Canis lupus familiaris: one gene and its partners. The main gene of each other region encodes a partner of the protein of the gene in region 3 in a complex. Links are inferred from orthologs where the notes say so. Each region holds a gene or a part of one and is shown on either strand. Other genes may lie near its edges.

The links.
Region 1: RELA (region 3) and CHUK share a complex: the UniProt entries of both Homo sapiens proteins name them as parts of the 70-90 kDa complex. The link is inferred for Canis lupus familiaris from reciprocal best matches to the Homo sapiens genes RELA and CHUK.
Region 2: the proteins of RELA (region 3) and SFN are in contact, whole or in part, in a crystal structure (PDB 7O6I), measured with the Homo sapiens proteins. The link is inferred for Canis lupus familiaris from reciprocal best matches to the Homo sapiens genes RELA and SFN. Residues at the interface, in NP_068810.3 of Homo sapiens: Ala43, Gly44, Ser45, Ile46, Pro47, Gly48, Arg50, Ser51; in NP_006133.1 of Homo sapiens: Glu14, Tyr19, Leu43, Ser45, Val46, Lys49, Asn50, Gly53, Gly54, Arg56, Lys122, Arg129, Tyr130, Gly171, Leu174, Asn175, Val178, Glu182, Ile219, Leu222, Asn226, Leu229, Trp230.
Region 4: the proteins of RELA (region 3) and NFKBIA are in contact, whole or in part, in a crystal structure (PDB 1NFI), measured with the Homo sapiens proteins. The link is inferred for Canis lupus familiaris from reciprocal best matches to the Homo sapiens genes RELA and NFKBIA. Residues at the interface, in NP_068810.3 of Homo sapiens: Arg50, His181, Lys221, Ser238, Phe239, Ser240, Gln241, Ala242, Asp243, Arg246, Arg253, Asp294, Arg295, Ile298, Lys301, Arg302, Arg304, Thr305, Tyr306, Thr308, Phe309, Ile312; in NP_065390.1 of Homo sapiens: Thr71, Glu72, Asp73, Asp75, Phe77, Leu80, Ala81, Ile83, His84, Glu85, Glu86, Leu89, Leu110, Gln112, Leu117, Ile120, Thr121, Asn122, Phe142, Arg143, Leu150, Gln154, Arg218, Asp226, Leu227, Gln249, Tyr251, Gln255, Leu256, Trp258.
Region 5: the proteins of RELA (region 3) and NFKBIB are in contact, whole or in part, in a crystal structure (PDB 1K3Z), measured with the Mus musculus proteins. The link is inferred for Canis lupus familiaris from reciprocal best matches to the Homo sapiens genes RELA and NFKBIB. Residues at the interface, in NP_033071.1 of Mus musculus: Lys218, Lys221, Ser240, Gln241, Ala242, Asp243, Val244, Arg246, Gln247, Asp294, Arg295, Arg297, Ile298, Lys301, Arg302, Arg304, Thr305, Tyr306, Thr308, Phe309, Ile312, Met313, Ser316, Pro317, Phe318, Gly320; in NP_001293151.1 of Mus musculus: Tyr53, Thr55, Glu56, Asp57, Asp59, Ala61, Leu64, Ala65, Ile67, His68, Gln69, His70, Pro72, Phe73, Phe76, Asn91, Leu93, Gln95, Leu100, Ile103, Leu104, Gly105, Arg125, Val137, Arg275, Leu283, Arg284, Asp306, Lys307, Leu308.
Region 6: the proteins of RELA (region 3) and SETD6 are in contact, whole or in part, in a crystal structure (PDB 3RC0), measured with the Homo sapiens proteins. The link is inferred for Canis lupus familiaris from reciprocal best matches to the Homo sapiens genes RELA and SETD6. Residues at the interface, in NP_068810.3 of Homo sapiens: Glu307, Thr308, Phe309, Lys310, Ser311, Ile312; in NP_001153777.1 of Homo sapiens: Ser120, Trp122, Val220, Met221, Ala222, Tyr223, Ser224, Phe225, Gln226, Glu227, Pro228, Pro238, Asn239, Ser240, Pro241, Asn259, Leu260, Tyr262, Asn283, Thr284, Tyr285, Met288, Met296, Tyr297.
Region 7: the proteins of RELA (region 3) and KPNA4 are in contact, whole or in part, in a crystal structure (PDB 7LF4), measured with the Homo sapiens proteins. The link is inferred for Canis lupus familiaris from reciprocal best matches to the Homo sapiens genes RELA and KPNA4. Residues at the interface, in NP_068810.3 of Homo sapiens: Lys301, Arg302, Lys303, Arg304, Thr305, Tyr306, Glu307, Phe309; in NP_002259.1 of Homo sapiens: Lys231, Asp271, Arg306, Asn310, Val312, Thr313, Gly314, Thr315, Asp316, Thr319, Lys344, Glu345, Trp348, Ser351, Asn352, Ala355, Glu387, Trp390.

Annotation. Positions count from the first base shown.
Region 1 is NC_049249.1:13,186,549-13,190,848, reverse strand, and holds the start of CHUK (inhibitor of nuclear factor kappa-B kinase subunit alpha), read left to right. Parts: upstream 1-1,500; 5' UTR 1,501-1,570; coding exon 1,571-1,675; intron 1,676-4,300.
Region 2 is NC_049223.1:72,665,232-72,668,338, forward strand, and holds SFN (14-3-3 protein sigma), read right to left. Parts: upstream 1,850-3,107; 5' UTR 1,750-1,849; coding exon 1,003-1,749; 3' UTR 501-1,002; downstream 1-500. UniProt on the Homo sapiens protein: Adapter protein implicated in the regulation of a large spectrum of both general and specialized signaling pathways. Binds to a large number of partners, usually by recognition of a phosphoserine or phosphothreonine motif.
Region 3 is NC_049239.1:52,050,666-52,054,851, reverse strand, and holds the start of RELA (transcription factor p65), read right to left. Parts: upstream 2,801-4,186; 5' UTR 2,786-2,800; coding exon 2,716-2,785; intron 2,485-2,715; coding exon 2,458-2,484; intron 2,375-2,457; coding exon 2,202-2,374; intron 2,062-2,201; coding exon 1,913-2,061; intron 1,289-1,912; coding exon 1,197-1,288; intron 632-1,196; coding exon 500-631; intron 1-499. UniProt on the Homo sapiens protein: NF-kappa-B is a pleiotropic transcription factor present in almost all cell types and is the endpoint of a series of signal transduction events that are initiated by a vast array of stimuli related to many biological processes such as inflammation, immunity, differentiation, cell growth, tumorigenesis and apoptosis.
Region 4 is NC_049229.1:14,263,084-14,267,146, reverse strand, and holds the start of NFKBIA (NF-kappa-B inhibitor alpha), read left to right. Parts: upstream 1-1,263; 5' UTR 1,264-1,391; coding exon 1,392-1,618; intron 1,619-2,198; coding exon 2,199-2,307; intron 2,308-2,650; coding exon 2,651-2,861; intron 2,862-3,146; coding exon 3,147-3,235; intron 3,236-3,366; coding exon 3,367-3,627; intron 3,628-3,948; coding exon 3,949-3,996; 3' UTR 3,997-4,063. UniProt on the Homo sapiens protein: Inhibits the activity of dimeric NF-kappa-B/REL complexes by trapping REL (RELA/p65 and NFKB1/p50) dimers in the cytoplasm by masking their nuclear localization signals.
Region 5 is NC_049222.1:115,001,088-115,005,367, forward strand, and holds the start of NFKBIB (NF-kappa-B inhibitor beta), read right to left. Parts: upstream 2,801-4,280; 5' UTR 2,716-2,800; coding exon 2,537-2,715; intron 1-2,536. Other genes in the region: SIRT2 (NAD-dependent protein deacetylase sirtuin-2), read left to right, coding at 3,055-3,180. UniProt on the Homo sapiens protein: Inhibits NF-kappa-B by complexing with and trapping it in the cytoplasm.
Region 6 is NC_049223.1:57,410,847-57,415,028, forward strand, and holds the start of SETD6 (N-lysine methyltransferase SETD6), read right to left. Parts: upstream 2,801-4,182; 5' UTR 2,764-2,800; coding exon 2,737-2,763; intron 2,616-2,736; coding exon 2,445-2,615; intron 2,336-2,444; coding exon 2,191-2,335; intron 2,112-2,190; coding exon 1,970-2,111; intron 1,838-1,969; coding exon 1,643-1,837; intron 1,526-1,642; coding exon 1,405-1,525; intron 58-1,404; coding exon 1-57. UniProt on the Homo sapiens protein: Protein-lysine N-methyltransferase. Monomethylates 'Lys-310' of the RELA subunit of NF-kappa-B complex, leading to down-regulation of NF-kappa-B transcription factor activity. Monomethylates 'Lys-8' of H2AZ (H2AZK8me1).
Region 7 is NC_049255.1:26,798,771-26,802,776, forward strand, and holds the start of KPNA4 (importin subunit alpha-3), read right to left. Parts: upstream 2,801-4,006; 5' UTR 2,627-2,800; coding exon 2,558-2,626; intron 1-2,557. Other genes in the region: insulin receptor substrate 4-like, read left to right, coding at 3,020-3,263, 3,319-3,653. UniProt on the Homo sapiens protein: Functions in nuclear protein import as an adapter protein for nuclear receptor KPNB1. Binds specifically and directly to substrates containing either a simple or bipartite NLS motif.

The DNA of each region.
Region 1 (4,300 bases), on a different chromosome or scaffold from region 3:
GCAACTATGACCACTTCAGGGTCAGCGCACTCATCAGTATCCCTCCCTAGCTCTTCCAAGTGAGCGTTACAAGAATATGGCTCCAACTGTGGAGATCAAACATACTCTAGTGCTAGCTATGCAGTACACCTAGCAGACAAAGGGCTTTATATGTTAGGGGCAATTGGTACCACAATCATCTGTGCAGTCTGCCCAACTCTAGCAGATGTTTGGGAAGTACCATTTGCCATCACCTCCAAGTCTGATACTCCAGCTCCATAGCAACCAAGCACATGTAGGAATCCATCATCTGCTACCACACATTACTGAGGCCTAACACGGCTTGTACATGCCATGCTCAACATTTTGGTTGTACCATTCAGGGATTCTGAATCAATAGATGCATGTTCTCTGCCAGAAGCCAATTCAATGCTTTCAAAGCAGCCAGCAACACTGCTGTGATGCACATGCTGTATTCATCTTTAGGCTTCTCAACATGTTAATCTGTGGGTCACAAAGTGTTGGTTGGAATTTAAGTACTGAGATCACAGGTGGGACTGTGCAAACGATGGCCCAAGTGCACATGATGTCAAGGGGTGTTCAAATGACTACTTTATGGAAGCAGTAACTGATATATTTCTTCAGAGAACTGGATGCCATAGTAATTTTTATACCCAGTTCTGGATATACTGACTGGATCCCCAAGTTCTGTGAGGCTGAGGCATATGACCAACTTAAAGTGAAAATGGGAGGTTGGTTCTTCCATGCTAAGGCTATCTGCCAATGGCAAATGCTTCTAGTTGCACCAACAGCATTCCTGAAGCTTGCCTCTGCAGCGCTGCATCACGAATCAGACACAGTTCCCTCAGTGAGGAACCACTGCACTGGCAAACCCATTAATGGAAGACCGACCACTGGACTGCAACCTCCATGAGGCACTTCGGGGAAAATTCCCCAAATCAGGAGGAACATTCTTTACTCCACAACAGTGTCACATCCTTGAGTCCTTTGTGATTACAGGCGAGATCCTGGTACAGGTGTACAGGAAGTCAAGCAAAAGATCTGAGCCTGATTTTATGGAAGATGATTAATCATTAAAAAAAAAACTATAAAGTGTAATGCATCGGTAGACGTGTTAGCGCAGGATTCTTTATAGTTTTTCGGATTCCGCAATATTTGAATCACTGGTGGCTTCTGCCAGTGCCACTTCAGCGAGCGGCGGAGTTGGAGGATAGATGGTAGAGGTCTGAAGAAAAGGTGAAATGCAGACAGGGTGGAGACGATGTGGAGTTTAGAACATGGCTTGAATGGAGAGCTTATAGTTTGGAAGCCTGGGAAATCCTATGTGGGTTCTCTCAGCCAGGAGAATGCCCAGGAGACTTAGCGGACTGGAAGCGAGCTGCCCTCATCCCGACCCTTTCTCTGGCCAGGTTCCTGTGTGCCCCCGGGAGCAGCTAGGGAAGGGCTTTTCCTGTGGCGGTTACCGGAAGTGACGCACACATCTCGCGAGAAGAAAGACGCGCGAGTCTCGGCGGCCCGGAACCGGCCTGGGAAGAGTGGCTGAACTTCAGGCCGCCAGCCCTCCCGCCCCATGGAGCGGCCCCCGGGGCTGCGGCCGGGCGCGGGCGGGCCTTGGGAGATGCGGGAGCGGCTGGGCACTGGCGGCTTTGGGAACGTCTGTCTGTACCAGCATCGGGTGAGGTGGGGCGAGAGAGGGAGCGGCGGTGGGTGTTTGTCAGAGCGTTTGTGGAACACAGCGACTGTCAGTACGTGAGACATTGTCGGTGAGACTTTGGGCAGCACCGTGGGCCGGTGAGCCTGTGTGAGTGAGTGTGTATTACTGTGCTTGTCGGTCTGGTGACTGAGTCCGAAGCTGTATCTGAGGTCCTGGGTCAGTGTGTGAAATAGAGCTCTTGTGGGGGAACTTTTGGTACGAACGTCAAGAAGTGACAAACTGTTTACCGAGTGTGACACTGCGATTGTGTCTCCGAGTGTAGAGGGTGTCGGGATGTGGGAGGCAGAGCCACATTAGAGTGTGTATTGTGAGCATGAATGGGTGAGAAAACGGGACTGAAGAAGGGGGTTGTCTGTTGGAATGTGTGTTCAAGTGTGTGCTTGGAGGCTGTGTGATATTTGTAGGGGCTGGAAGAGACAAGGAAGGTTTCGGAAGCATCCAGTAGGCTTCAGATCTTGGAATGCGTTCTGAGTAGGGAACAGTGTGAGGATCAGCTTGGTGAAATGATCATGGCTTCCTAAGGGAAGGAAGTAGATTGGGCGTGAGGTGGAAGACAGCTAACATCGGAGTCAGGAATTTTGCTTCAATTTAATTGAAAATGTTTAAGCATTTAGCAGCAGTTAATAATCATGTTTGAGCCATGCATCTTTCAGTATACCAATAAAAGCTATGAAACCTTTCCCCAGCAAAATGCACAGTTGCACATCCCCACCACCTTAGGTGCTGCCATTTGAGGGGGCTCATGCTCTCCTGAAGGATGTTCACAAACCTTTTAGAGGTATTAACCCTTGACTGATAATCTTTGCAGTGTTGCCTTTGTTTTTGTCATCTGTATTTTGTGTAAGATAGTTATATACATCATAGGTCTGTTTGAAAGTTAAAGAAGTTAATATGGGTAAAGCTAAGTACAATACCTGGCCTAAGTTAAGCCCTCAAGTGTTAGTTCCTGCTGCTGTTGTGTTGTTGCTATTGTCATCTTCTTTACCATTATTTTGTTTTCTTCTTTACCATTATTAATTAAACTTAAAAAAGGATACGTCAAGATAAAAGTGGCGCCCTTGGAGGACTGTTTTGTAAAAGATAAATCTGAGTGAAAAACACGGGACAAGATGAACAATTACAATATTATTCAAATGCATGCAATTGGCTTGTAAAGGGAATAAATGAATTCAAGATTTGCTTGAATCTTAAGGAATAGGGGTATGGGTAGAGAGCCCATAATATAGGATGGGAGGTAGGGGCATGGGAGTATACCTGGGAAAAATAGGTATGTTTGTGTGGCAGTCACAATGACAAATGTCAGTGATGGAGCTGAAGAAATGTTGTGAAGCAGCTTTCTAGATAGAGCATGGGAGGACATCTTGAAGAGAGGGAGAATGGGAGGTGAAGGACTAAAGCATTAAGTACTCTGACAGCTAAACAAGTAGTAAATTTAATAATTCTCACCATCAGAGAGTACATAAGGCACTTAAAGAGAAAAGAAGGAGCCAAGTACTTCCAGTGAAATGTTGCCTTTGGTGTTGTTATCTAAGCCTGTTCATTAGCCTGGTCATAAAAAAATATATGCTTGGTAGCTTGCTTTGTGACTGCTTTTCTTGGTCACTGGTTGGAAATAGATCAACACATCATTTTTTAAAAAAATTGTGATAAGGTATATATAATGTGAAATTTACAATCTTAACCATTTTTAAGTGTACAGTTCAGTGGCATTAAGTACATTGACATTGGTATGCAACCATTACTACCATCTATTTCTAGAACTTTTTCACTTTACCAGTCTGAAACTGTATTCATTAAACAATAACTCCCCATTTCCTCCTCCCCCTGCCCCCTGGCAACCACCTTTCTACTTTCTGTCTCCATGGAATTAATTACTTATTAAATGGAAGAGATTTGGGTTCCTCTAGAATCCTAGAAATCTCTCAGGAACTTTCCAGGTATCTAGACTGGTTCTTTCCTCAAATTGGAACATTTGACAACGGGGCTTGTAGTGGAAAGAGAAGAAATACTCTAAGACTTGGAAATAGCTTCATTACTTTTCCAAGCCTGACTTTGGATTTGCCCTTAACAGTTTTCAAGATCTTTGTGTTTTGGTGGAAGCCACGTCCCCAGTATTTTATCTATATCTCTTAAATCACAATGAGGAAGAGAAAAGGATGTGAGATGGTTTATTTATCAGATTATTATGCTGGGATGGGTGCTGATGGTATCCCAGTCAACAAAAATCGTATTTTCTGCCCTCAAGGAGATTTCAAGTCTAGTGGGAGAGGTAGACACAAAAACACTTTAAGTACAGCGTGGTAACCTATATAACAGATATATTTATAAATTTTTTTTTAATTTTTATTTATTTATGATAGTCTCACAGAGAGAGAGAGAGAGAGAGAGAGAGAGGCAGAGACACAGGCAGAGGGAGAAGCAGGCTCCATGCACCGGGAGCCCGATGTGGGATTCGATCCCGGGTCTCCAGGATCGCGCCCTGGGCCAAAGGCAGGCGCGAAACCGCTGCTATGATAGAGTGGCAAAAATAACCAAAGAATTCTTCCTAGGGAATAATGTAGCACTTCTCAAAGTGTGTTTGGGAAA
Region 2 (3,107 bases), on a different chromosome or scaffold from region 3:
AGTCGGAGCGCTGGGGGCGGGGGCATCCCCTCTCAGATACGGGCTTTTAATGGCGGCGCAAGCCTCTACCCAGATTGTGCTCCCCTCCTCTCAGATCTGAGCACTGGATGGGCCTCTAACTCGCTTTCAAGGCCGGGGTGCTCGCTGCGGCTCACTACAACCTGTCCTTGTCGCTCGGACCTCACACCTGAGAGGCTTTCCTGTCCCCTCAGATCTGGACTCTTCAGCCCCCCGCCCTGCAGCCCTAGAGCAGCCTTAGGGCCGCCTTTGCGCTCCCCCGACCGTCCGGGACCAGACCAGCTTGCTGGGGGCCACCCTGATGGAGAGCTGGACCTCCTGCCCCCCAGCCTCTCACCTGGGGTCACTGGCTCCAGAGTCTTGCCTGTGGGTCCCTGAGCCAGCCCCGTGAGAGGTCAAGGCCCTAAATCAGAAGTCAAGGTCTCTAAATCATAAGCCAGTCCTTGTCCCATCGCTTCGCCAATAACTGGAAGAGACAGGAGGAGTGTCACAGGGGAGCTTTATTGAGAGGAAACAGGGTCACACCCAGCAGACATGCTTTCCCTTTCATCCGGGTCTTGCGCGCTCTCACTCGTGCTCTCACTCGCTCTCGCTCTTTCACACACACACACTCATCTCCAGGCTCTGCCATACAGTCCAGCTCTCAGCCACAAGGGTGGGACACTCCTCAATTCCTAAGATTCAGAGGCAACGGGGGGCAGGAGGGAGGCAGGAGGGGGAGGAAGTGGCCCGGTTGGCGGTGGGGTTTCGGGGAGGGGTGCGGAGAGCAGGGGTGGGCGGGCCCCGACAGCGGCAGGAAGAGCGAGTCCCCCGGCCCTAGCCGGCCTCAGCTCTGCTGCTTCCTCTCCTCGGAGCTCTCGTGAGCAGGAGGCAGAGCATTGGGGTAGGAGGGTCGGGCCTCGCACCCCACACTAGTCCTCTCTGCCACGGGCGGGCGGGGTGCTGGAGAGGGCAGGGCGCGGCGGGGAGGGCGCGGTGGGCGGCTCAGCTCTGGGGTTCCTCGGGAGCCTCGCCCCCCTCTTCCCCGGCGTTGTCGGCGGTCCACAGCGTCAGGTTGTCTCTCAGCAGCTGCATGATGAGGGTGCTGTCTTTGTAGGAGTCCTCGCTGAGGGTGTGCAGGTCAGCCATGGCCTCGTCGAAGGTGGTCTTGGCCAGTGAGATGGCCTCCTCGGGGCTGTTGGCGATCTCGTAGTGGAAGACAGAAAAGTTCAGGGCCAGGCCCAGGCGGATGGGGTTGGTGGGTGGCATCTCCTTCTTGCTGATGTCCATGGCCTCCTGGTAGGCGGACCGGGCTGAGTCAATGATGCGCTTCTTGTCGTCACCAGTGGCCACCTCGGCCAGGTAGCGGTAGTAGTCGCCCTTCATCTTCAGGTAGAAGACTCGACTTTCGGCATCCCCGGCCTCCTTGATGAGGTGGCTGTCCAGCAGGCCCAGCACCGTGTCACACACGCCCCGGAGCTCGGTCTCCACCTTCTCCCGGTACTCTCGCACCTCCGGGCCCTTCTCTTCCGAGCTCTCCTCATTGCCTTTCTGCTCGATACTGGACAGGACCCTCCAGGCAGCCCTCTGGCCCCCCACCACGTTCTTGTAGGCCACCGAGAGCAGGTTTCGCTCTTCGCAGGACAGCTCCTCACCCTTTTCCACGGCGCTCTTCATGAAGGCTGCCATGTCCTCGTAGCGCTCAGCCTGTTCTGCCAACTTGGCCTTCTGGATCAGACTGGCTCTCTCCATGGCTCTGGTGACAGACAGGCGGCGGGCTAACTGGCTGCCTTGAAACCGATGCCGGATTCTGTGCCTCTCCTGCTCTCTGCCTGCCTTTTGGCTGGAAGGTCTGGCCCCAGAGAGGGGTGGGGAGGGACCGAGGGCGGGGCTGGGGCCCGGGACCTGCCTCCCTCTGGTCTTCTCCCCACACCCTTTCCGGCTCTTCCTTAAAGGTAAAAGGCTGGGATGTAGGGTGAGTCATCGGGGCTCAGTCTGCGGGAGAACTCCGCCGGGCGTCGGCCCCACCTGCACAGGACACCTTTCCAAGCTCCAGGCTGCCCCCTCTTGTTCGGTGCTTTGATTCCATGAGTGCCCACCCAGATGCCCCAGTTTCTCAAATCAGATCCTCCTTCATGGTGTTCTTCCAGGGGCCAGGGATGGCTTCAACCAAGTGGCCGCTTCAGCCTGGCTAGAGCGCATGAAGACAGGTGCACCCAGGAGGATGGGGTTCTTAATCCTACCAGGTACATTTTCCACCTTGGTTTGGGTGAGATAATTATGTTTAGGTAGGGCTGTAGTTTCCCAAGCACCTTCACAGCCACGATTGGATTGAATCCTTACTATGTCTCTGTGAGATGGGCCAGACTATGACTTTTACTCCCACTTTAGAGGTGGGAATGCTAAGGCTCAGAGAGGGATGAGATTTGCTCAAGGTCACACAGCTAATAAATCCCCTGTATCCTACTTCCTTTGGCTTCTCTCGTCAAGGCCTCTGACTTGTAAGCTCCAGACTGTATTTAGAAGTGAAATCCAGGCTTCTTCCGGAGTCTACCTGAAATGGTTCTCTCCCTTGGTCATCACCCCCCCTCAGGGTTCCCTCTGAGGTCCCAGAATGCACAGGTGGCATCGTTCAGGGTGCCACTTAATGAGGTATTTAATGAGCGGCCCCTGACGCTCCAGCCCAGCCTTTGTAATTAGTCATCCAGTAGGTTTGTTGGACACCTTCCCCATCACAGCACAATTTTCCCTTTCAAGTTGGTGGCCTGTTACCACTTGTTTGAGGACCTACCCTCTGGCTCTCCACGCCAGGTCACCTACCCCCTCCAAGCCGCCTGCCATCATGTATCAGTGGGGCTCACACAGGGTGGGGGCCCAGCTCTCCTGCCTGACTCAGCCTGCCTTCTGTCAAAGGCTGGGAAGCAGGCCACTTGGGTGCTCAGCCCAATTTGGTTCCCCAAGGGGGACGCTAGCACCTGGAGAGAGAGACAGGACCAAGATAAAGAAGGTGGCGGTGACACATACCATTTTGTTTTATAGGGTAGCAGTACCAGGTGAGTGCTGCCTCCCCCAGTCTGCCTCTCAGAAATTTCCCTGTCCCTTCCCTTTGA
Region 3 (4,186 bases):
GGCTCCATAGAGGGAGCCTGATGTGGGACTCCATCCCAGGATCCCAGGACTCCAGGATCATTCCCTGAGCTGAAGGCAGACGCTCAACTGCCAAGCCACCCAGGCGTCCCCATCTGTGAACTTCCTATGAGCTTCATCATTGAAGTACTACTCTGTAACATCATCTTGTTCCCAGGAGTTCATTTCCCAGAGTCGTTAGTACAGTTACGGGCACACCATCCTCCCATCACATATTCCAAGTACCTGTCTTCTATCTGACTTCCTGCCAGCCTTGAAGCTAACACCTTAAGGGCAGATCCAGGTCTTCTTTGTCTCATTAACCGCCCCCCCCCCCAACCCCCACCACAGCCAGCACAGAGCTGGACACAGAAGAGGTGACAAATACACTAGATGCCTGCATGAAGCCAGAGCTCCTCTAGTGGGCCATTCCCCACCAACCCCTTCCTCCTCACAGGCTTGTCCCTCCCTCTACCCTTCCCATGGCTCCTTGGTCACTTACGGTTGTCAAAGATGGGATGGGAGAGGACAGGTGACAAGCGCAGGGGCCTGCCTGCCGGGTCCCGCACTGTCACCTGGAAGCAGAGCCGCACCGCATTCAGGTCATAGTCCCCACGCTGTTCTTCTATGGGAACTGCCACAAGAATAGACGGTCAGGGGACCGGGAGGCGTGGCAGGGGATGAGGGGGGCAGGGAGCTCTGGACCCGGGAGCATTGTCTGAGGGTGTGTCAAACAGTGGGAGTCCTAAAGGAGGAGAGAGAGAAGATTCTAGACCCATCACTGAACTGTGTGACCCACCTGTGCCCCTGGGTGTTATGCCCCCTCACTGGCTCCCAGTTTCCCCAGTGGTAAATGGGAGTGGGTACTGAATGGGCAGCAAAATTCCATCAGTACTAAGAGTCTTGGCCAATAAGGGAGGTGGCTTGGAAGAACCAGAGAGGGTGGGGGTGCTTCGGACAGGTCTCAGCCTTTGCTCCCTCAGCCCTCAACTTGTTTTTTATTTTATTTTATTTTATTTTTTAAATTTATGATAGTCAGGCAGAGAGAGAGAGAGAGGCAGAGACATAGGCAGAGGGAGAAGCAGGCTCCATGCACCGGGAGCCCGACGTGGGATTCGATCCCGGGTCTCCAGGATCGCGCCCTGGGCCAAAGGCAGGCGCCAAACCGCTGCGCCACCCAGGGATCCCTCAGCCCTCACCTTGGAAGGGGTTGTTGTTGGTCTGGATGCGCTGGCTGATGGCCTGCTCCAGGTCCCGCTTCTTTACACACTGGATCCCCAGGTTCTGGAAGCTGAGTCCCTCTCCATGTATTAGTCCCATTGTCTCTGCCCAGTCTGTTCCTCCCTCCCCTCCCCATTCACCAAATCACCACTGTGCTTCCTATTGTGCTGTAAAGAAACCCACTCTTTACCTTGGCTGACAAGCATCTGTGCCCTGCTGCCTGGGCTCCCTACCCTCAGTAACAGCCGCTTCTTTTCTGTTTCCCAAACACCCTAAACTCACCCCCACTTCAAGACCTTTGCATTTGTTCACTCTGCTTGAAATGTTTTTTCCCATGCTTCTCTGCTCTCCTCACTATTCAAGCCTTAACAGAGAGGCTTTTCCTGACCTCCAACTTGCCGACCTTCCCTCCACCAGTGGGCTATTCTTCCAACCTAACTATGTTATTTTCATCAGTGAAGTTACTTTGGGGGTTCAGAGGTTATTAGGGATCCATTCCTATCCCATGGAGCTCATATCTACTTGACAGTTGAGATGCACAGATGATTTCAAGGCAAAGAGAATCTGCTTGCAAAGCTAGAAGTGAAGAATTCTTCCCAGTGTCCAGAATGGAGTAACACTATAACAGCTACACACCCACCCAGCCTCCCGTCTCCTCACCTCACCCCCCATACCCGGCTGGTCAGGAGTTCACCTGTGGATGCAGCGGTCGGGGCAGAGCTCAGCCTCATAGAAGCCATCCCGGCAGTCTTTCCCCACAAGCTCATGGGGATGAGGCCGGTGAGGGGGGTCCTTGGTGACCAGGGAGATGCGAACTGTCCCTGGCCCCGTGTAGCCATTGATCTGTTCAAAGTACAGAGAACTTCTAGAGACTCCGGGAAGTCCAAACCTAACTCCCAGACACTGCACCCAGCCCCACCCCCCACCTGGAGGCGGCAAACCCACCCTGTGCCCCCCACACCACCACTAACAGTCATGCTGACCTTGATGGTGGGGTGGGTCTTGGTGGTGTCTGTGCTCCTCTCGCCCGGGATGCTGCCCGCTGAGCGGCCCTCGCACTTGTAGCGGAAGCGCATGCCCCGCTGCTTGGGTTGCTCGATGATCTCCACATAGGGGCCAGAGGCCTGGGCGGGCTCTGTGGCCAGACCCGGACCAGCTCCAATCAGGCGGCTGCCCTCCTCGCCCCTAACCCCAGGGCACTCCTCCCCCAATCACCGAGAGGGAAGGCGGTCCACTTACCAGCTGGGAAGATGAGGGGAAACAGGTCTGAAAGGGAGGGAGACAAGGATCAGCACAAGCCCCCTTTCCCCCTTTCCGTCCTTACCGGGGAGCGCCTGCTTCCTCACGGAGAGGACAGAGCGCCAGGCTCCCTCCCCGCCAAGGGCACTGGGGCAGGGCCCGCTCCCTGGAACCTGCGGTGAAACTAAGGGGAAGGGGTGAAGAAGGCAGAAACAGCTGTTTCCCGAGGGAAAACTGGCCAGAGCGCCTTCTCCTTACTGAGGGAAACGGAGTCAGAGGCTGTTCTACTTCCAAAAGGAAAACTACGGAGGGCACCCCCACGCCTCATCCTGAGAGCAAACGGAGTCGGATACACTTTCCCCTAACGAGGAAACGAAGTCAGACCTGCGCCCAGGGCCCCGGAGTGAAGCTGGGCCGAAGCTCCCCGCCACCCCGGAGATTACGGAGTCAAGACCCCGCCACCCAGTGGGGAAACTGAGTCAGACCCTTCAAAGCCCGCCCCGCCCCGCGCCACCATCCGGCCGGCCGCTCCCTGCGCAGCACCCGCCGGCGCAGGAAGGGGCGGAAGGCGGCGCGGGGGCTCCCGTCGCCATCCCCGCGGCCCCGACGCGCCCACCCCGCGGGGTCAGAGGGCGCCCTCACCGTCCATGGCTGGGGTCCCGGGGGCGGGGCCGGGGTCGCAGCTGGGCCCGCGGCGCGCGCTACAGCCAAGCCATTCGCCAGAGGCGGAAATGCGCCGCGCGCGCCCGCCGCCGCGTCACTGCCGGGAATCCGGCCGCGCCTGCGCGCTGCGCCACCTCCGCCGCCGCCGCGGCCGCCGCAGCCCCTGCCGCTGCCGCTGCCGCCGCCACCCTGGGGCGGGGCGGGGCGGGGGGCAACTGTGCCCCGCGCCGACGACGGAGAGGCCGCGCGCCGGACGCCACGGCCCGAGGCTGGGGACAGGTTGCGCCGCTCCGGGGACTAAGAGGCTGCTCGTCCCGACGCCGCTCCGGGGCTGGCAGGGCTGCTGGGCTCCCTCCCCGGTCTGGGCTCCGTCTGGAGGGCGGGCCCGGTGATTACTCACAATGTTTTTAGGGGATTTCGGGGGCCCCCTCCCGCTGATCGGAGGAGTTTGGTGATGTCACCGGGCCCGGTCTGGAGCCCAGCCAGGACTGCTGGCTGCGGCCGCCTGCCCTGCGCAGGGAAAGGCCCGGGCCTAATTCGCCCGCAAAGGCCAGGTGACCGAACTCCACGGGGCTTCTGACCGCTAAAGGTGCCTCTTGGTGGTGGTCGCGGCATAAGCATTTTTTAATTAGCCACCCACCGCCGTGGGGGCGAAGGGGGACGACCTGATCTCTCCACCTGGCAGCGCCTGCACCGTGGGCTTTGTGGAGCCTGCTGCTCGAGGGCGACCCAGGTGGCGCCGCGTCTGCTCCCGCTGGCGAGGGGGCACCTGAGGGCTTTTAGGGTTAAGAAGCCTGTGCGTTTACGGTTCCTCCATACTGTCGGCCCTCGGGGGCGATGGATGGACAAGAGGCGCCCAGGGGTAAATCTTCGGAGCCTCGTCTCTGCAGCCAGATATCCTTCTTAGAAAGTCCGGTACTTCTGGGGCCGCCTAAACCGACAGGGTCATTCCCGCCTCCGCTCGTCTCTCCAGGGCCTACTGCTAGGGTCCAAAGCATTTCCACTAATTACCCACCAAATGACCTCTCAGCGGGTATCTTCCCCAAGGCCGAGCTCAAGGCCAGTA
Region 4 (4,063 bases), on a different chromosome or scaffold from region 3:
GGACCAATTCTAGAGATAGAAAAATTCTGTTAGAGGCTGGTTGGCTAGGAGAATGGGGGTAGGGTGGGGAACGTAAGTTATATTTCTGCAGGTGAAACCAAAGGATGAGGAGCCCATAGGGGCTATACACAGCGCCTGGAGAGGTCCAACTGCTGCCCTCTCCAGGGCAGGAGAGCAGGGAGCCAGCAAGAGGGTAATGTTAGGTTGGCGGGAGGGTGGCCTTCTGTAGGATGCTTTGCAATCTAAACCATCCTTAAGGCCCAATCTTGGGTAAGGCACTTCTCAACCTATTCTTCAGCCTCTTCCAAATGCTTCTGGAAAGACACCGGCTGGGTACCCAGAAGTAGGCTCTGCAGCAGCACAGTGCAAATCAGGAAACATGACCTCAATAATTATTTTGTTCGTGCAGGGCAGCTAGCTACAACCTCTACTACAAAGATTAACACCTTGCTTTACCTGAAAAAAAGTATGGTCCTGTTCAGCGTTTTCGCTGAACACAGGGCAGAGTGCTTGCCTCTCCACCAGTCAACAGGAATGTTAATCCCGAGGAAATGATTTGAGGGTTCTCCAAGCATTTCAATGCCAAAAAATGCCAAAAGCTTTTTGGCTTTTAATGCCAAAGCATGCACAACTTTTACCTGGTTGGGGGGGGGGGGGGGCCTCGAGGGAGTGCTACGTGTGTCCCCGCGCCACAAAGAGCCTGGCATTGGCAGGGTGGCAGAGGCAGCCGGCGACCTTCTAACCCGCCAGTGCGTCCTTCCCCGCAGAAGTTTGGGGAAGCAAATCCCTACGTCCAGCCATCATTTCCACCCGAGTTTTCAAAAGATCAAGAAACGGAAAGGTTGGCAAACCCCAAGGAGGAACTGCCTGGCGGGTCTGCGTTCATTGGGATCTCAGCAGCCGACGACCCCAAGTCGAATCGATCGTGGGAAACCCCAGGGAAAGAAGGCCGCTTGCAGAGGGACAGGATTACCGAGTGCAAGCTGCAGGGAAGTACCGGGGGAGGGGGCCTCGGTCGGGAGGACTTTCCAGCCGCTCAGCGTTCATCAAAAAGTTCCCTGTACATGACCCCAGTGGCTCATCGCCGGGAGTTTCTCTGATGAACCCGGCTCAGGGTTTAGGCTTCTCCCCCTTCCTCCCCCTCCCGAGCAGAGGACGGGGCCAGTTCTCTTTTCTGGTCTGACTGGCTTGGAAATTCCCCGCGCCTGACCCCGCCCCGGAGAAATCCCCTGCCAGCGTTTATAGGGCGCCGCGGCGGCGCTGGCGAGCCCACAAGAGTCGCAGCCAGCGGTCCTGCGTCCGTGACCCTGCGAGGCGAGGCGAGGCGAGGCGGCGAGCGCGCAGCCCGCGGCCGAGCGCACCTGGGCAGCAGCGCCGAGCCTTCCCGCGCCATGCTGCAGCAAGCCGAGCACGCCCAGGACTGGGCCATGGAGGGTCCCCGGGACGCGCTCAAGAAGGAGCGGCTGCTGGACGACCGCCACGACAGCGGCCTGGACTCCATGAAGGACGAGGAGTACGAGCAGCTGGTGAAGGAGCTGCGGGAGATCCGTCTCGAGCCGCAGGAGGCGCCGCGCGGCGCCGAGCCCTGGAAGCAGCAGCTCACCGAGGACGGAGACTCGTAGGTGTCTCGGGGCGGGCGGGGACGCCGCGCCTGCAGCGCGAGGCCGAGGGGCGGCAGCCGACCGGGGTGTGGGCACCGATCCCCCGTACACCCCTGGCCCCGGGACCGCGCAAAGCTGCCGGCTGCGCTGCGGGCAGCAGAGGAGGGTCGGATCCCGGGCTGGCGGTGCAGCAGCCCTGCGCTGCAGCGCGCACCCCCACCCCCCAGCCCCGGTCCGGAGCCGGTCCTGCCGGCGGGGGCGGGGCGGCGGCGGGGACGCGAAGTCCCCGCTTGCACAAGGGGGGCGGGAGCTCCTGCCCCGCGGGCGGGCGCCGGGGGGCCGGGAGGGGAAGTACAGGGCGTTCCGGCCCGGCGGGAGGGCGGGGCGGTCTGGCCGGCGCCCGCCGAGGAGGGAGGGGGCCCGGAAAGTCCCTGGGCGCCTGCCAGGAACACTCAGCTCATAATAACCTCGCGGAAAACACCGCGGCCTCGGCCTCCAGAAACCCCGGCCTTGCGCAATCCCCCGCAGCCCGCGCCTCCCTGGGCCCCACGCGATGCACTCACCAGCCCTGGGGGTTTTTCCCTCTCTTCCCCTTAGGTTCCTGCACTTGGCCATCATCCATGAAGAGAAGGCCCTGACCATGGAAGTGGTCCGCCAAGTGAAGGGCGACCTGGCCTTCCTCAACTTCCAGAACAACCTGCAGCAGGTGCGCCGGCTCGCCCAGCCCTGTGCCTCTGACCCAGTGATGAAGTTGGATCTAGCTCAGTTGCTCCCAATCCTTTCTAAATTAATAATCACTGGGCATTATGTACCTTGACCTTTTTACATTGGAATCGGCCAACGTCCTAGAGAATAAAGAAAATTCTATTGATTTGGTGAGGCCTATGATGAAAGCCCACCTGCGGCCTCTGGCATTTATCTTGCCCTTCATACCTGTCTGGGAGGAGGAGCAGCACCCACAACCAGTAGATCTCCGGAGTTCAAGGGAAGACAGACTCTTGAGTTTGGGCCATGGCTTACCCTCTTTCTATTCCCTCTTGTGTTTGTAGACTCCACTCCACTTGGCTGTGATCACCAACCAACCAGAAATTGCTGAGGCACTTCTGGAAGCTGGCTGTGATCCTGAGCTCCGAGACTTTCGAGGAAATACCCCCCTACACCTTGCCTGTGAGCAAGGCTGCCTGGCCAGCGTGGGAGTCCTGACTCAGACTTGCAGGACCCAGCACCTCTACTCCATCCTCCAGGCCACCAACTACAATGGTATGTCTGCCTGCCCTACCCTGCCCATCAGAAGGCAGGTGACATGGAGAAGGGAGAGGTAGGCCAATGTTAGGAGTCCAGGCAAGAGCTGAAACTCTGAATACTTGAAAGGTTGAGAAAATATGCATGCAAAAGGTCTGTTTCATGCCTTGATAAAGTTCATTCAGAGCCCAGATTCTGGGTTCTCCAAATTCAGAATTTATTCCCTATAAGAATAGACAGAAAGTTCTGCTTGAGATCTGAGGGTTGAAGCAAGTGGTTATATTTGCTTCATTGTTCTTCTAGGTCACACATGTCTACATTTAGCTTCTATCCATGGCTATTTGGGCATTGTGGAGCTTCTGGTGTCTTTGGGTGCTGATGTCAATGCTCAGGTGAGTTCTTCATGTCTCCAGATGGAACGCATCAGGGCTCCAGGCCCTCCTCAATAAGACCTCACATGTTCTTGTTGCAAGTAGAAATTCCAAACTCAACCATAAACATCTCAAATTCCTTTTGGTTTCAGGAGCCCTGTAATGGCCGAACCGCCCTCCATCTTGCAGTGGACCTGCAGAATTCTGACCTTGTGTCGCTTTTGTTGAAGTGTGGGGCTGATGTCAACAGAGTTACCTACCAGGGCTACTCCCCGTACCAGCTCACGTGGGGCCGCCCAAGCACACGGATACAGCAGCAGCTGGGCCAGCTGACCCTAGAAAACCTTCAGATGCTGCCAGAGAGTGAGGATGAGGAGAGCTATGACACAGAGTCAGAGTTCACAGAGGACGAGGTGAGTGTCAACTCCATCGCTCTGCACAAAGCAGTACCCTCCCAGGTCTCTAGAGCTCCTCTTTATCCAAAGAGCTCAATGCAATGAAGTTCTCCCACTTTAGTGTTCATGACCAGGAGTCTCCCAAAAGTGTGTCTTTGTTTTTTGCTCTTTTTAAAGGAGAGGAGCATTAAAGAAAAACTTCCTTAGCCCCTGAGGTTAATTTATACTTGGGTTATGGAGAATGGAATCCAAGAGTACTTGATAATGGCCCTCACCCTTATCCCAGTACCTTTGACAAAACTGGAAGCTTAACATGGCTTTTTTTTCTCTTGTTTTTAGCTGCCCTATGATGACTGTGTGCTTGGAGGCCAGCGCTTGACGTTATGAGCTTCAAAACATATCTAAAAGAACACGGACTTGTATATTTGTACAAAAAGAGAGTTTTATTTTTCTA
Region 5 (4,280 bases), on a different chromosome or scaffold from region 3:
GTAATACCCTTTAAATATAGGTATTAAAAGATAGGTTAAAATAAAAGGGTGGAAAAAGATATACTGTGCTAACACCAGTCAGTCAAAAGAAAGCAGGAGTGAGTTGTGTTTTTTTAAGATTTTATTTATTCATGACAGACTCACAGAGAGAGAGAGAGAGAGAGAGAGAGAGAGAGGCAGAGACACAGGCAGAGGGAGACGCAGGCTCCATGCAGGGAGCCTGATGTGGGACTCGATCCCGGATCTCCAGGATCATGCCCTGGCTGAAGGCGGCACTAAACTGCTGGGCCACCGGGGCTGCCCAGGAGTGAATATTTTAATATCATACTAGACTTTAGAGCAAGAAATATTACCAAGTATCGAGAAGGTTATTTTGTAATGATTAAGAGGTCAACTAAGCAAAAGAACATAATAATTCTACATATCCATGCCCTAATAACAGAGCATCAAATTACACAAAGCAAAACCTGACAGAACAAGAGACAAATCCATAATGACTGCTGGAGATTTCAATGCCCCCTCCTCAATAATTGATAGAACAAGGAGACAGAAACCATTAGTAAGGATATATAAAATGATAAACCAATAGGACCACTAATTGACTTTTAGAGAACCCTACACCCAACAACAGCAGAATATTCACTCTTTTCAAGTGCACGCATAATGTGTGGCACCATAAAACAATTCTCAATAAATTTACGAGGATCCAAGTCATACAAAGTATGTTCTCAGTCTACAAGGGAATTAAATTAAAAATCAATAAAAGAGAGACATTTGGAAAACTTTCCAAATATCTGGAAACTAAATAACATATTTATTTTTTTAAAAAGATTTATTTAGGGGCATCAGGGTGGCACAGTGGGTTGGATGACCAACTCTTGGCTTCAGCTCAGGCCCTGATCTCAGGGTCATGGGATCACGCCCTGCTCCCAACAGAGCCTGCTTGGGTTTCTCTCTCCCTCTCCCTCTGCCCCCTACCCCTTTTTAAAAGATTTATTTATTTATTTATTTTAGAGAGAGCATAAGCAGGAAGGGCAGAGGGAGAAAGAGAGAGAATTCCAAGCAGATGCCACACTTGAGCACAGAGCCCAATGGGAGGCTCATCCCAGGACCCTGAGATCACAACCTGAGCTCAACCAACTGAGCCACCCAGGCGCCCTAAATAACATATTTTTAAATAATCCACTGGCCAAAGAAGAAATCAAAAGAGAAATTACAAAGTATCTTGAATTAAATGAACATGAAAACACAACATATCAGAATTTGTGAGAGACTGCTAAAGTACTGCTGCTGGAAATTTATACCATGAAACACCAATGTTAGAGAAGAAAGGTCTCAAATGAATGATCTCAGCTGCCACCTTAAGAAACTTTAAAAAAAGAGAGAAAGAAAGAAAAAAAAAAATTAGACCCAAAGTAAGCCGAAGAGGGCAATAATGAAAATCAAAACAGAGATCAATGAAATAGAAAGCAAAAAACCAATAAAGAAAACTAATGAAACCTCAGCAGGGGTCTTTGGAAAGAACAATATTTCCTGCACGCCTCTTATGGGTCAAGCCCTGTTTAGTCACCATGACTGGATGAGTAGACACAAATACACAAAAAAACCCCAGGACAATCCCTCACCGCCCTTTACAATTCTGGTTCCTTCTGCCTGGAGAGTTCTCCCCCAGATACTCTACGGATCTCGTTTTCCTGCTTTATTTTTCCCCCAAAGAACTTATTACCTTCAGATACACTATTTTTCTGCCTTTCCTTTATACTGTTTTTCGTTTTTCTTTGTTTCTTCTTTTCCTTTCTCTTCTTTCTCACTTTGCGTCTGTGTCTTAGTTTCTTTTGTTCCTTCTCTCTCCTCTTTCCCTCCCTCCCTTCCTTCCTGTCTTTCTGTCAGCCTGTCTGTCCTTTTGTCTGTCTACATACGCACCTTAGAATGTAAACTCCACAAGAGCGGAAATTTTTGTCTGTTTTCCTCACTGCTTTATCGCAGCACCTAAACCAGTGCCTGGAACGTGGTGGTGTTCAGCAAATACTTAACAGGCATCAATCCCTGCTATCATGGAGCTTACGTTTTCCCTTTGGATGTAAGATCTGAAGATCGGTGCTCAGAAGGTAGAATGTTAAGAATCAAGGTCATGTATTAATTTTGGAAATCTAAGTTCAAGGCGCATCCATCAGGAGGCTAAGGATCAAGGATCCTATTTGGAGGTAGGAGGTGAGGAGGAGCCTGTCTGGACCACAACTCTAACAAAGGTCTCCGGACTTGGGTCGGGAAGATCAAAACCAGTTTGGGGATCAATGGATAGGGATGTGGAGCAATATGAAGCAGAGCTCAAGAAAGGAAAGTCGGAGAAATTAAGGAGTTAGGGTCAAAGTTGGCTAGGAAATTGGTTTTACTAAAGGTTAGGAGTTACAAATCAGAAAGTCGAGCATCAGAAGTTAGATTTAAGAGTGAAAGGTTAGGGAGCCGGGATAGGAGACTAATAGGGAATCAGAGGTGGGATCCTAGGGCCCCGTTAGGCAGCCTAAGGTTCACTCACGTGTCCCCATCCTCAGTGACGTAGCCAAAGACGAGGGGCGCCCACGACAACCCCGGGCCCAGCTCGGCGCCCAGCCCCGGTCCTCCGGGGGCTGCTGCGTCGGGACCCAGAGAGCCCAGGCCGCTGTCGCACCATTCGTCGGCCTCCGCAGCTTTCCCCAAGCACGCGACCCCGGCCATGGCCCCCGAAGCCTCAGGGGCCCCAGCGGCCGCCCGCCTGTAGCTGGCTTTGCCTGAAGCCCCGGCGCTTCCGCCCTGCGGGGAATTCCCCAACACTCCCCCTTGGCTCACCCAATCAGAATGACCTAAAGAGCACACGCCCCGCCCCCTTACCACACAGTGACCATTCAGAGTATTCAGACGGACTGCGGCTCTCTACCCATTCCCACAGTTTCCGGCCGCCCTTTACCAACATGGCTGCCTGCGCGGAGCCCTCTGGGACTCGTAGTCTCGCCGTCCGTGTCTTCCTAGCCCGAGAGCGGCAGGCGCCGCTGGACGAAAAGCCTGTATGCATCCTCGATGACTGCTGGGAGTCGTAGTTCTCTGCCCTGTCTCTGCCCCTCCTGTTTCCGGTGCCGTCACGGGACAGAGCAGTCGGTGACAGCCCCGAGGGCCCCCGCCCCGCGCCCATGGCCGAGCCGGACCGTGAGTCGGGGGCCCCGGTGGGAGGGTCGGGTCGCACCGGGGCCTGGCTGAGGGCTGCAGGCCCCGGGGCCCGAGGACCGGCGTGGTGGGGCTGGAGACGGGGGCTGCATGGCGGCCAGTGGGAATCGGGGCGGGGGTGGGGGGTCGTTGCTAAGTGATCCATCTTGCCAGGCTGGTGGGTTTCTGGGTCGCGAGATTGTAAGGGTCCTTTGCTACGTCCCCTAAGTTACTAATGACCGCGTGTTTCTCGCACCTCGGTTGCTGAGGACCCTCGTTGCTAAGGACTTAGATTGCCGCGGCCCCGGTTGCTAAGGGTACCTGGTTGTTAGGGGGAACTGTAGGATGCTCGGGGACCCCTGGCGCCCCCTCCTGTCTCGTCCCTCTAGTTCCTGTGCCCCTCCTAAACGTGCTGTCTCCACTGCACCTCCTTTCCTAAACCTGTCTCTGCTAAGCGTATTTTGTTTTCTCTCTTCCTTTTTTAAACTTCCCTCTGTTTGTAAACCCTAACCCTCCCTGCACACACACGTGCTCACACACACACTCACTACTGTTTGCTTCCTCACTTCTAAGTCTTCCTCCATGCCTGTATGCTTTACTTTCTCCTCCCTCTCCCAAACCTTCCTGCCCCAGCCTCTGTCTGTCACTAACCACTTCTCCAGACAGCACTGTCTATCCTAATAAGATCTGCTTTTCCCCATCCCCTCCCTCCCTCTGCTCAGCTTTTACCACCACCTCCCACCCCAGTATAATTAGGTTGGTGGGTCTTCTTGCCCCTTGCCCCTCTGCTTTGAAGCCCTTCATCCCCACTTAACTGTGCCCCGCACTGTAACCACGTCTGCTCCCCCTCCTCCCCCAGCCTCTGACCCTCTGGAGACCCAGGCAGGGAAGGTGCAGGAGGCTCAGGTGAGATTTGGGGAAGGGTGGAGGGAAGGAGAGAAATGGACGTGTTCCCACACCCCACACTCTGGGGGGGGTGGAGGTGGCAGAGGGGAGACAGTTACCCCAGGGCCCTCAGGGCATCACCCCAGCCCCTTGCCCCCACTCCTGGTTCGGCCCCCTGGGAATGGTGGATTCCGGGGACTGGCAGAAAAAGCTGTGCA
Region 6 (4,182 bases), on a different chromosome or scaffold from region 3:
GTTGAAAATTTCATGGCCTTTAGGAATGGGCTGAGTGGCCACCATCCGAAGACAATTCTAGGGTGGAAGGGAGAAGCTGGGACCTGGCCTTTCTTTGGGCAGCTCCATGAAGATTAATTCCCTCTTAGGAAAAGCCTCCCAGTGGGTACAGTTCAACAATGGGACTGATCACATACCTACCAACATTCTACTTTTAGTTCCTATTATGATCCTGTATAGGCACACCTCAGAAATTGTACTTAGGGTTCAGCTCCAGACCACCACAAAACAAGTTTTTTTAAATGCGAGTGAAATGAACTTTGACATCCCAGTGCATATAAAAATCTTATTGTAGAAAACAGCTTTATTGCTAAACTGTGCTAACCATCTGAGTTTTCTGTGAGTTGTAATTACTGATCAGATCACCAAAACAAATATAGTAATGAGAAATTTTGTACTAAGATTCTTCCCAAAATAAAACAGATGTGAAGCATGTGGTGTTAGAAAAATGGCACTGATAGACTTGCTCAACACAGGATTGACACAAACCTTCAATTTGTAAAAAGCACAATCTATCTGAAGTATAATAAAGTGAGGCATGCCTGTACAATAGGATGAAAGAGGTGTGATTTAGAAAGGTCAAGTTTAGCCCCATTACTTGATTAAGTAAGTCTCTCTCCTTAGTCCTCTTCAGAACTTAAAGCTACTAGCTTTTAAAAATGAACAGTTAAACTCAGATCAAAGTAGGAATGGCAGACAGAGGCTAGGATTAAAAAAACAGCCATTCCCTAATTTCAAGAACTCGGATCTTTTCTTGCAACTTTCCACAAAGCAAATGGAATTGATACATAACCCTGGTATCATCTTAGATCTGACCTATGGCCATGCCCTTTTCTCCCCCTTCCCCAAAAGTAATGACTGTATAGCTGTTCCAGGCTGATGTCAGGAGGGCCCCAACACTGCCTTGGCTCACTGGTACGGACTGCATAGAGGAGCCAACCTCCAGCACCAAAAAAATGATTGCAGTAGCTTAGCAGAGACTTAACCAAAACTTTCTTTGTGGGCTGAGGTTTTGTGTTCAAACTATTTGACGGGAATACACAAACTGAAGATACATTAAAAAAAAAAAAAAAAAAAAAAAAGCTAATTTCACCTATGCATTTTTACCATGCCAAGAATGGAGCCCACTTAGCCCAACTGTCCCACCAGCATAAATGACAAGCACTGGTTTGAATCAAATGCCTGATCATCCGTGCAATAATAACAGCACCTGGGTGGCTCAATGGTTGAGTGTCTTTTGCTCACGTCGTGGTCCCAGGGTCCTGGGATCCAGTCCAGCATTGGGCTCCCCATGGGGAGCCTGCCTCTGCCTCTCTCATGAATACATTTTTTTTTTAAAGGAATAACTAAGAGGGATCCACTCACCGGAGAGTATTCTAGATTGGCATTATGATTGGCTAAGTGGTTTAGTATGTCTGCAGCAGGCACCATCAAAGGGGAGTTTGGCTCCTTTTCATCGTCCTCTTCCTCCAGTGGTTCCTGAAAGCTGCCACAAAGAGAACTTTGCTAAAGCCCAGAGACTGGGGTGTGGTTCAGTGTTCTTTCCCCTCTCATCCCTCAATAGAATTCTAAAGCAAAAAAGTCCTTCGTTCTGCTCACTGACCTGTAGGCCATCACAAGAGCCACAAGCTGGCGGTAGAGATCCAGGGAGCGAACCCTGGGGCTGAAAAGATCCGGGTGGGCTTCCATGAAGGGCAACACGATGGAATAGTATTCACTGCGGATGTTGGCCAAGTCCTTCTCCACGGCCTCCGGTACGCCCGTGCCCTGCAGCAGTTGCCGGCGCTCCTCCTCGGGCCTGCAGGGAGACCCCACCGGGTTCCCTTCACACATCCCACCGAGACTAGTGCTTGGGAGCCCTGTCCCCGGGCCAGGGCTGTTTGAGCTAGGCTATGGTGCTGGTGCTCCCCACCCGTACTGAGGCTCTCACCAGAACATGGGGTGTTCCAAGCGGCCCAACTCCGGCCAGAGCGCAAAGTAGGGGCTCCAGAGCGAGGCTGGGGTCTGCAGCTCATGCAGCAGCGCCAACAGCAGCGGCACCCAGCCCGACTGGCTCTGCAGCGCGCCTCGCTCTGAGGGAGACGGGGAGGTGAGAGCCCGGGCGCCACCCCGCGGCCCGCCTCCCCGTCCCGCTCCCGCAGGCGCACCCACCTCGCTCCAGCAGGCCGCCTATGGAGCAGGTGTGCTGCGACAGGAGCGCGGCCCGCGGCACGGCGAACAGCAGCTCCCCGGGCTGCACGCTCTCCCGGGCCACCATACCGTAGCCGGCCACCGTGCCCTGCCGGCTCACCGTCACCTGAACGGGGGAGCGGCCGGTCCGAGCTGGCCTGCGCCCCCGCCCGCCCGCGCCCGCGCCCGCGCCCCCGCCCCCGCCCGCGCCCGCGCCCGCGCCCCCGCCGCCTCACCTTGGGACTCAGCTCCAGCCCCACCTGCCGGCACCAGCTCAGGAAGCCGGCCACCGGGTCCAGGTCCGGGTCCGGGTCGCTACCGCGCACGGGCCCCGCCACCTGAAACGAGCGAGCGCCGCGGAGACGGCCCGCCCCGGAGGAGGCCGAGGCGCGCGTGGAGGAAGTGCTCTGGGTGGGGGAAGGGGCGCGGTGAGAGGGCGGGGGCCTGCGCGAGCGGAGGGAGGGGGCGGGGGGCCGCGCTGCGGGCAGGGTAGGGACGAGGCGCGGCGGGGAGGACCCTGCGACTTACCCGCCGGCGCTTAGCCCGGGTCGCCATGGTCCCGGCCCCGCGGCCCCGCGGCCCCGCGGCCCTAGAGCCCCGCGCGCGCACTTCCGGCGTCTGGGGAAGGGCCTGGCGGGGACGGGGGCGGGGACGGGGACGGGGACGGGGGCGGGGACGGGGACGGGGGCGGGGACGCGGGCCACGTGACGTGGCCCGGGCCGCGGGGTGGAGGGCGAGCGGGGCTTGGAGCCTGCGCGATCGCTCCTCCCGGGAACGTGCTCCCGGGGCCGGGGTGTCCCCAGCGGGGTCTAGAAGACGTGCGGTCGGGTCCCTCCAGAGGACCCGCATCGAGCGAGGGTCTGAGTCTGCCTTCCTGATCTCGAGTCCCAGCCACTCAGCTCGTCCAACCCGTGTTATTTGCTCCGTAAGAGCAGGTTGCGTGTGCGCGTGCGTGTGTGTTTCCGAGGGGCACGGGAAGGGGCACGGGAAGAGTTCCCAGGGCTGGAATAGCCCCTCCGCCGCACTTGCTAGTATATCCCTCTGTTTTTCATCGTATACATGGGGTTTTATTTACGTGCTTTATTAGTTGACACATAGCAGGTACGCAGTATCTATTAAGTAAATGAGTGAATCAGAAATGGTGGTTAAACACAGGAAAGTAGAATACTTTTAAGAAACTGAAGCAGCGAATATAGAGGGCTTTGCAGTCACACAATGTTAAAGCCAGCTCCCAGCTTGGCTTAATAAGAAGCCTAATAAGATGGCAAATTCTTTATCTTGAGGCTCTGTTTCCTCAGCTGTGAAACTGAGATAACATATACCATGTGGAATTAACGTAAGGATGGGTGGGCACCTGGGCGGTGGCTCAGTGAAGCATCTGCCTTCAACTGTGGTCATGATCTTGGGGTCCTGGGATCCCGCAGCACCGGGCTGCGGTTTAGCAGGGAATCTGTTTCTCCTTTTACTTCCCCCTCTTCGCTGCTCTTCCTCACTAGCTAATTAAAAAAACAAACAAACAAACAAAAACACATAAGGATTGGTAAGATAATGTGATAAGAACTGTAAATAAGTGGGGGACCTGGCTGGTTCAGTTGGTAGAGCATGTGATTCTTGATCTGAGTGGTCCTGAGTTCAGGTCCCCAGGAGTTGAGTTTTTTAAATAGAACTAGAAGTAGAAACAGCAATGGGAACTCCTGCATACTCAGTCCCACCTAAACCCAGGAAGGACCTCAATGCTGCCATCTCAAAAGCTTCCCGTAACGGGCCTGGCGGCACTATACTTGAATTCTTCACTTATTAGTTTGTCAACACAGTTAATTAACTCTATTTGACAAGGGTTTTTATTTGTTTTACATTTTGTCATCTCAAAGTTTCATGACATCAGCCACCAGAATACATAAAGTTAGGTTCTTCACTTTATACAGAGAGGAAAATAATAAACTCCAGTAGAAGTTCACTTGACCAAAGAGACCA
Region 7 (4,006 bases), on a different chromosome or scaffold from region 3:
TTTGAATAAGTGAGGAGAAAGTACAGTTTCCACTAGAGTCATGTCATTTTCCTAGGTGAAACAGTGAAAATATCCCTATTTCTTTTGTACCCACAGGGTTATCAAAGTCCTCAAGGATGTCCCTAGGCACTATAAACTTCTCAAAAAAATCTGGTTAATGTGTTTATAGTTATTTTTAAAAATCACTTATAATATTGTTCTAATAGAGTCAGCACAATCTTATTTTGACTAATGTGATAAGAAATTGACAGTAAGAGGAAACATCAAATTACCAAAAAAAAAAAAAAAAAAAAAAAAGGATCGCTTTAGAACAGTTTGGCAATCCCAGAAAAGGTTACGTTTAAAGTTACCGTATAACCCACTGGTTCTACTCCTTGGGATATAACCAAAGAGAAATGAAAACATAGGTCCACAAAAAACTATGTACATAAACGTTCATAGCAGCATTACGCATAACAGCTAAAATAGAGTGGAAACAAAGCAAATGTTCATCAACTGATGAACGGATAAACAAGATGTGGTATATCCATAGGCTGGATTATTATTCAGCATATTACTCAGCCATAAAAAGGAACGAGGTGGAACGAGGCTCTGTTTTATTTTTGTTACATGTGAAAACCCTGAAAACATTATGCTACCTAAAAGAAGCCAGTCACAAAAGATCACATACTATGTAACTCCATTTATAGGAAATATCCAGAATAGGCAAATCTAGATGGAGAGTAAAGGGAAATAGAGATTCTTTTTGGAGTGATAAGACCATTTTAAGATTGGCTGTGCTAATGGCTGCACAGGGTTGTATAGCATAGGAATTACATTTCAATGAAGCTGTTTTTAAAAAAAAAAATGCAGCCAGAAATGTAGGTGAAGGGAAAGCATCAGAACTTGTCAAGCATCTAATCGCTATTTTTTGGATTTTGTAACTTGAGGTATTTATGTTTTTAAATTTCGTAATGGTTTTCATTCTAAATATTGATATCAGTAAAAAATTTCCTTCATCACAGTATTACCCAAGTAGGTAAATTTAATGAAAAAATCGTAAGTTGTACCTTTAAAGTGGTGATTATTATGGCATGTGAATTATATCAATAAAGTTGTTAAAAATTTTCCACAGGAAAAAAAGGATCACAGGATAATATCTCACATTAACCTTAAAACAATCACAGAATTAAGAACCACATCCTCAGGTATTTTAATAGATCCTCAAACTATGAAACCTACTGAAAACAACACAAACTACCTTAAAGATTGAACGGCTTTGTGAAAAGCCCCCCAGGATAGTTACTATCTCAGTCAACCAAATGCTCAAAGTTCAGAAACAGGTGATGGGAATTTGGAGATTTTAGTATAAAAAAGTACAGAGGAAGCAATACAAAAACTACTACTTGACCACTTTTTCTTTTAAAAGCTACATTCCTGATGCAGGCACAGGATGCACGTATTAAAAAAAAAAGAATCGATTTACCTAGACTCTCAACACTGAAGGGAAGAAAAGTCTATCAAAATTCTGTGATTGGTGTGCGTGTGTGTGTGTGTGTGTTTTACCCACACACCTCATGTAGCCTAACCACCTGGGGGGGGAGGGGGAGCTGTATCGAAGATAATCAAGGGTTCCCCCCCACCCCCCTTCTAAAATAAAACGGGATGGTGCCATTCCAGAGCCCACCCCATCCCCCACTACCACCACCTGCAGGTGGAGGGAAAGGATACTGTAGACTAGAGGATGACAGCTTTGTATAACCCTGTGGACTTTATATATAAGAATGCAGCTGGTGGTCTCTCAGGAGGGGATAAAGAGATTTGTGAGCAAGCTGAAATAAGGGGTATTCTTTGCCTGGAAGAGGGCACACCGTGAGCCACATCTTGAATCAGCTATATCCAGAGTAAAACACAGGCCGCTGGAAGGCACTGTTAGCATCCACCAGGATGGCCTCTCACGCCGGGGGTGTTTTTTTCAACGGAGAAGTTGACTCCTGTAGTTTGGACATCGGGGGGAGGCAGGGGTAAAGCGGGAGTCGGGAAGACCAGAGAAAACGCCTTTAAGTGGAGACGACTCGGACCCCGCAGGGGAAGTTCCGAGCCCCGCTCGGTCGCCGCACGCTCGTCCCCCCCCCCCCCCCCACCGCCCTCCTCACGCGGCGCCAGACGGCGGGGCCCGGGGCAGAGCCGGAATCTCCGCCGGGGCCGGGGCCGGGGCCGGAGCCGGGGCCGGGGCCGGGCCGGGGCCGCGCGGCACACGCACGCCTCCTCCGCGCTCGCCGCGCCCGGTCCTCCCCGCCGCGCGGCCCAGCCCCTCGCACCCGCGCCGGGCCGGCTCCCCGGGGCAGGCCTAGGCCGCGCCGGCCGTACCCCCGCACCCCGCTCCCGGGCGGAGGGGGGACCAGGCCCGACACAAACTTCCCGGCGCGTTCGCAGAGGCGTCACGCACGGGCCGGCCCCCAGCGCCATTCCCCCGCGGCCCGGCGACGGCGCCCGCCCCGGCCCCCCACGCCCGGAGTCCCGGCGGACGTCGGCCCGAGGCCCGCAGCCCCCACCCCTCCGGCGCCCCCGAGTTTACCTCCAAGTCGCGGCCTTTGTTCTTGAAATTCTTGAGCCGTTGGTTGTCCAGTTTCTCGTTGTCCGCCATGGCCGGGCCGGTGACTCCTTCCCCCGCCCGGGCCCCCGCGGGATCCGCCCCAACCACCACGCCGCACCGACACTCCCAGGAACCGGGCCGCCGCCTCAGCTGCAGTGCCCGCCGCGCCGCCGCTTCCTCCCTCCTCTCCGCTGCCTCCGCCGCGGCCTTCTCCTCCTCCTCTCCCCGCCCGCCCCCCCCGCCCTAACCCCGGCGCGACCGCAGCTCCGCCGAAGACAACTGCGGGGCCGGGCGGCGGCAACGGCGGCGGAATGTGCTGCCGGCTGAGAGGGGGAGGCAGCCTCGATCTGAGGGCCCCGGAGCCGCGGCCACGCCCATCGCCGCCAGCCCCGCTCGCCGATTGGCCAACCGGGCTCCGGTGCGCTCGACCAATCAAAGAGGACGATGGAGAGCGGGGGGCGGAAGAGAAAACGGAAAGGGGAAGCGAGCGGCGCGGGGAGGAAGGGCCGGAGGGCGGGGGAGGCTGGGAGGGCGCGGCGGGGGCAGGGCGGGGAGGGACCACGTGCCCGGGAGCCGCCGGGAGGAAGCGAACGGGAATTGGGCGACTTGGGGGGCGGCGGGGAGGGGAAGGGAGGCCCGGGAACGAGTTGGTTCGCTCCTGTTGCCGGGGCCGCTTCGGACCTCTGCGGTCCAGGATTGGGGCGGACTTAAAGTATCCCCCCGCCCCCCCCCCCCCCCCCGAGTGCGCCTTCTCTTCCAGGGCACGGCTCGCGCGCTCCGCTGGCTTTACAGGAAGTGCGAGCTGCGCCTCGGCCCAGTCTGGGTCGGGACACGCGCCCGCCGCCCCCCGCCCCCCGCCCCCCCGGGGTTCCCGCCGCGCGAGGCCCGGGCCGTGGGCTTGGGACGCGCAGGGGGGACGCGCGTTCGCGAGTCGCGGCGGGAAGCGAGAGGGACAGCGGGTGGGAAAGGGAAAGGACGCCTTAGGCGCATCCGACCCGTCCATCCCTGCACACCTGTCCCCGCAACAGGTAGGAGCTCGGGAAGCGCTGGTGACCCAGTGATGCTACAGCCTCTTAAGGTACCTCGTCTTAGGAAGTCAAAGAAGCTGCTTGGCCGCAAAGTGCTAACTTCTGGAAGGCGGAGACCGCGGCACCTGCCGTGATGTGGTGCTGTGACTGCGGGGAGAGAATGGATTCCGAGGATGTACATTTGTGTCGGGAATATTATTACTAGAGAGGCGGAAATAATACGAGCTACGAAGGAACGTGTGCGAATATTTCAGAAAAAAAAAGGGGGGGGAAGGAAATAGTTTGAAAATATATTTACCCATTGATTGCATCTCACATATGCAGGGAAAACGAAGTAGGCTGCAAGACCTCGGGTCGGAAGGAAAGGGGGCGGTGTAGGAGCATTTGGGTGTGTTTAAATTTG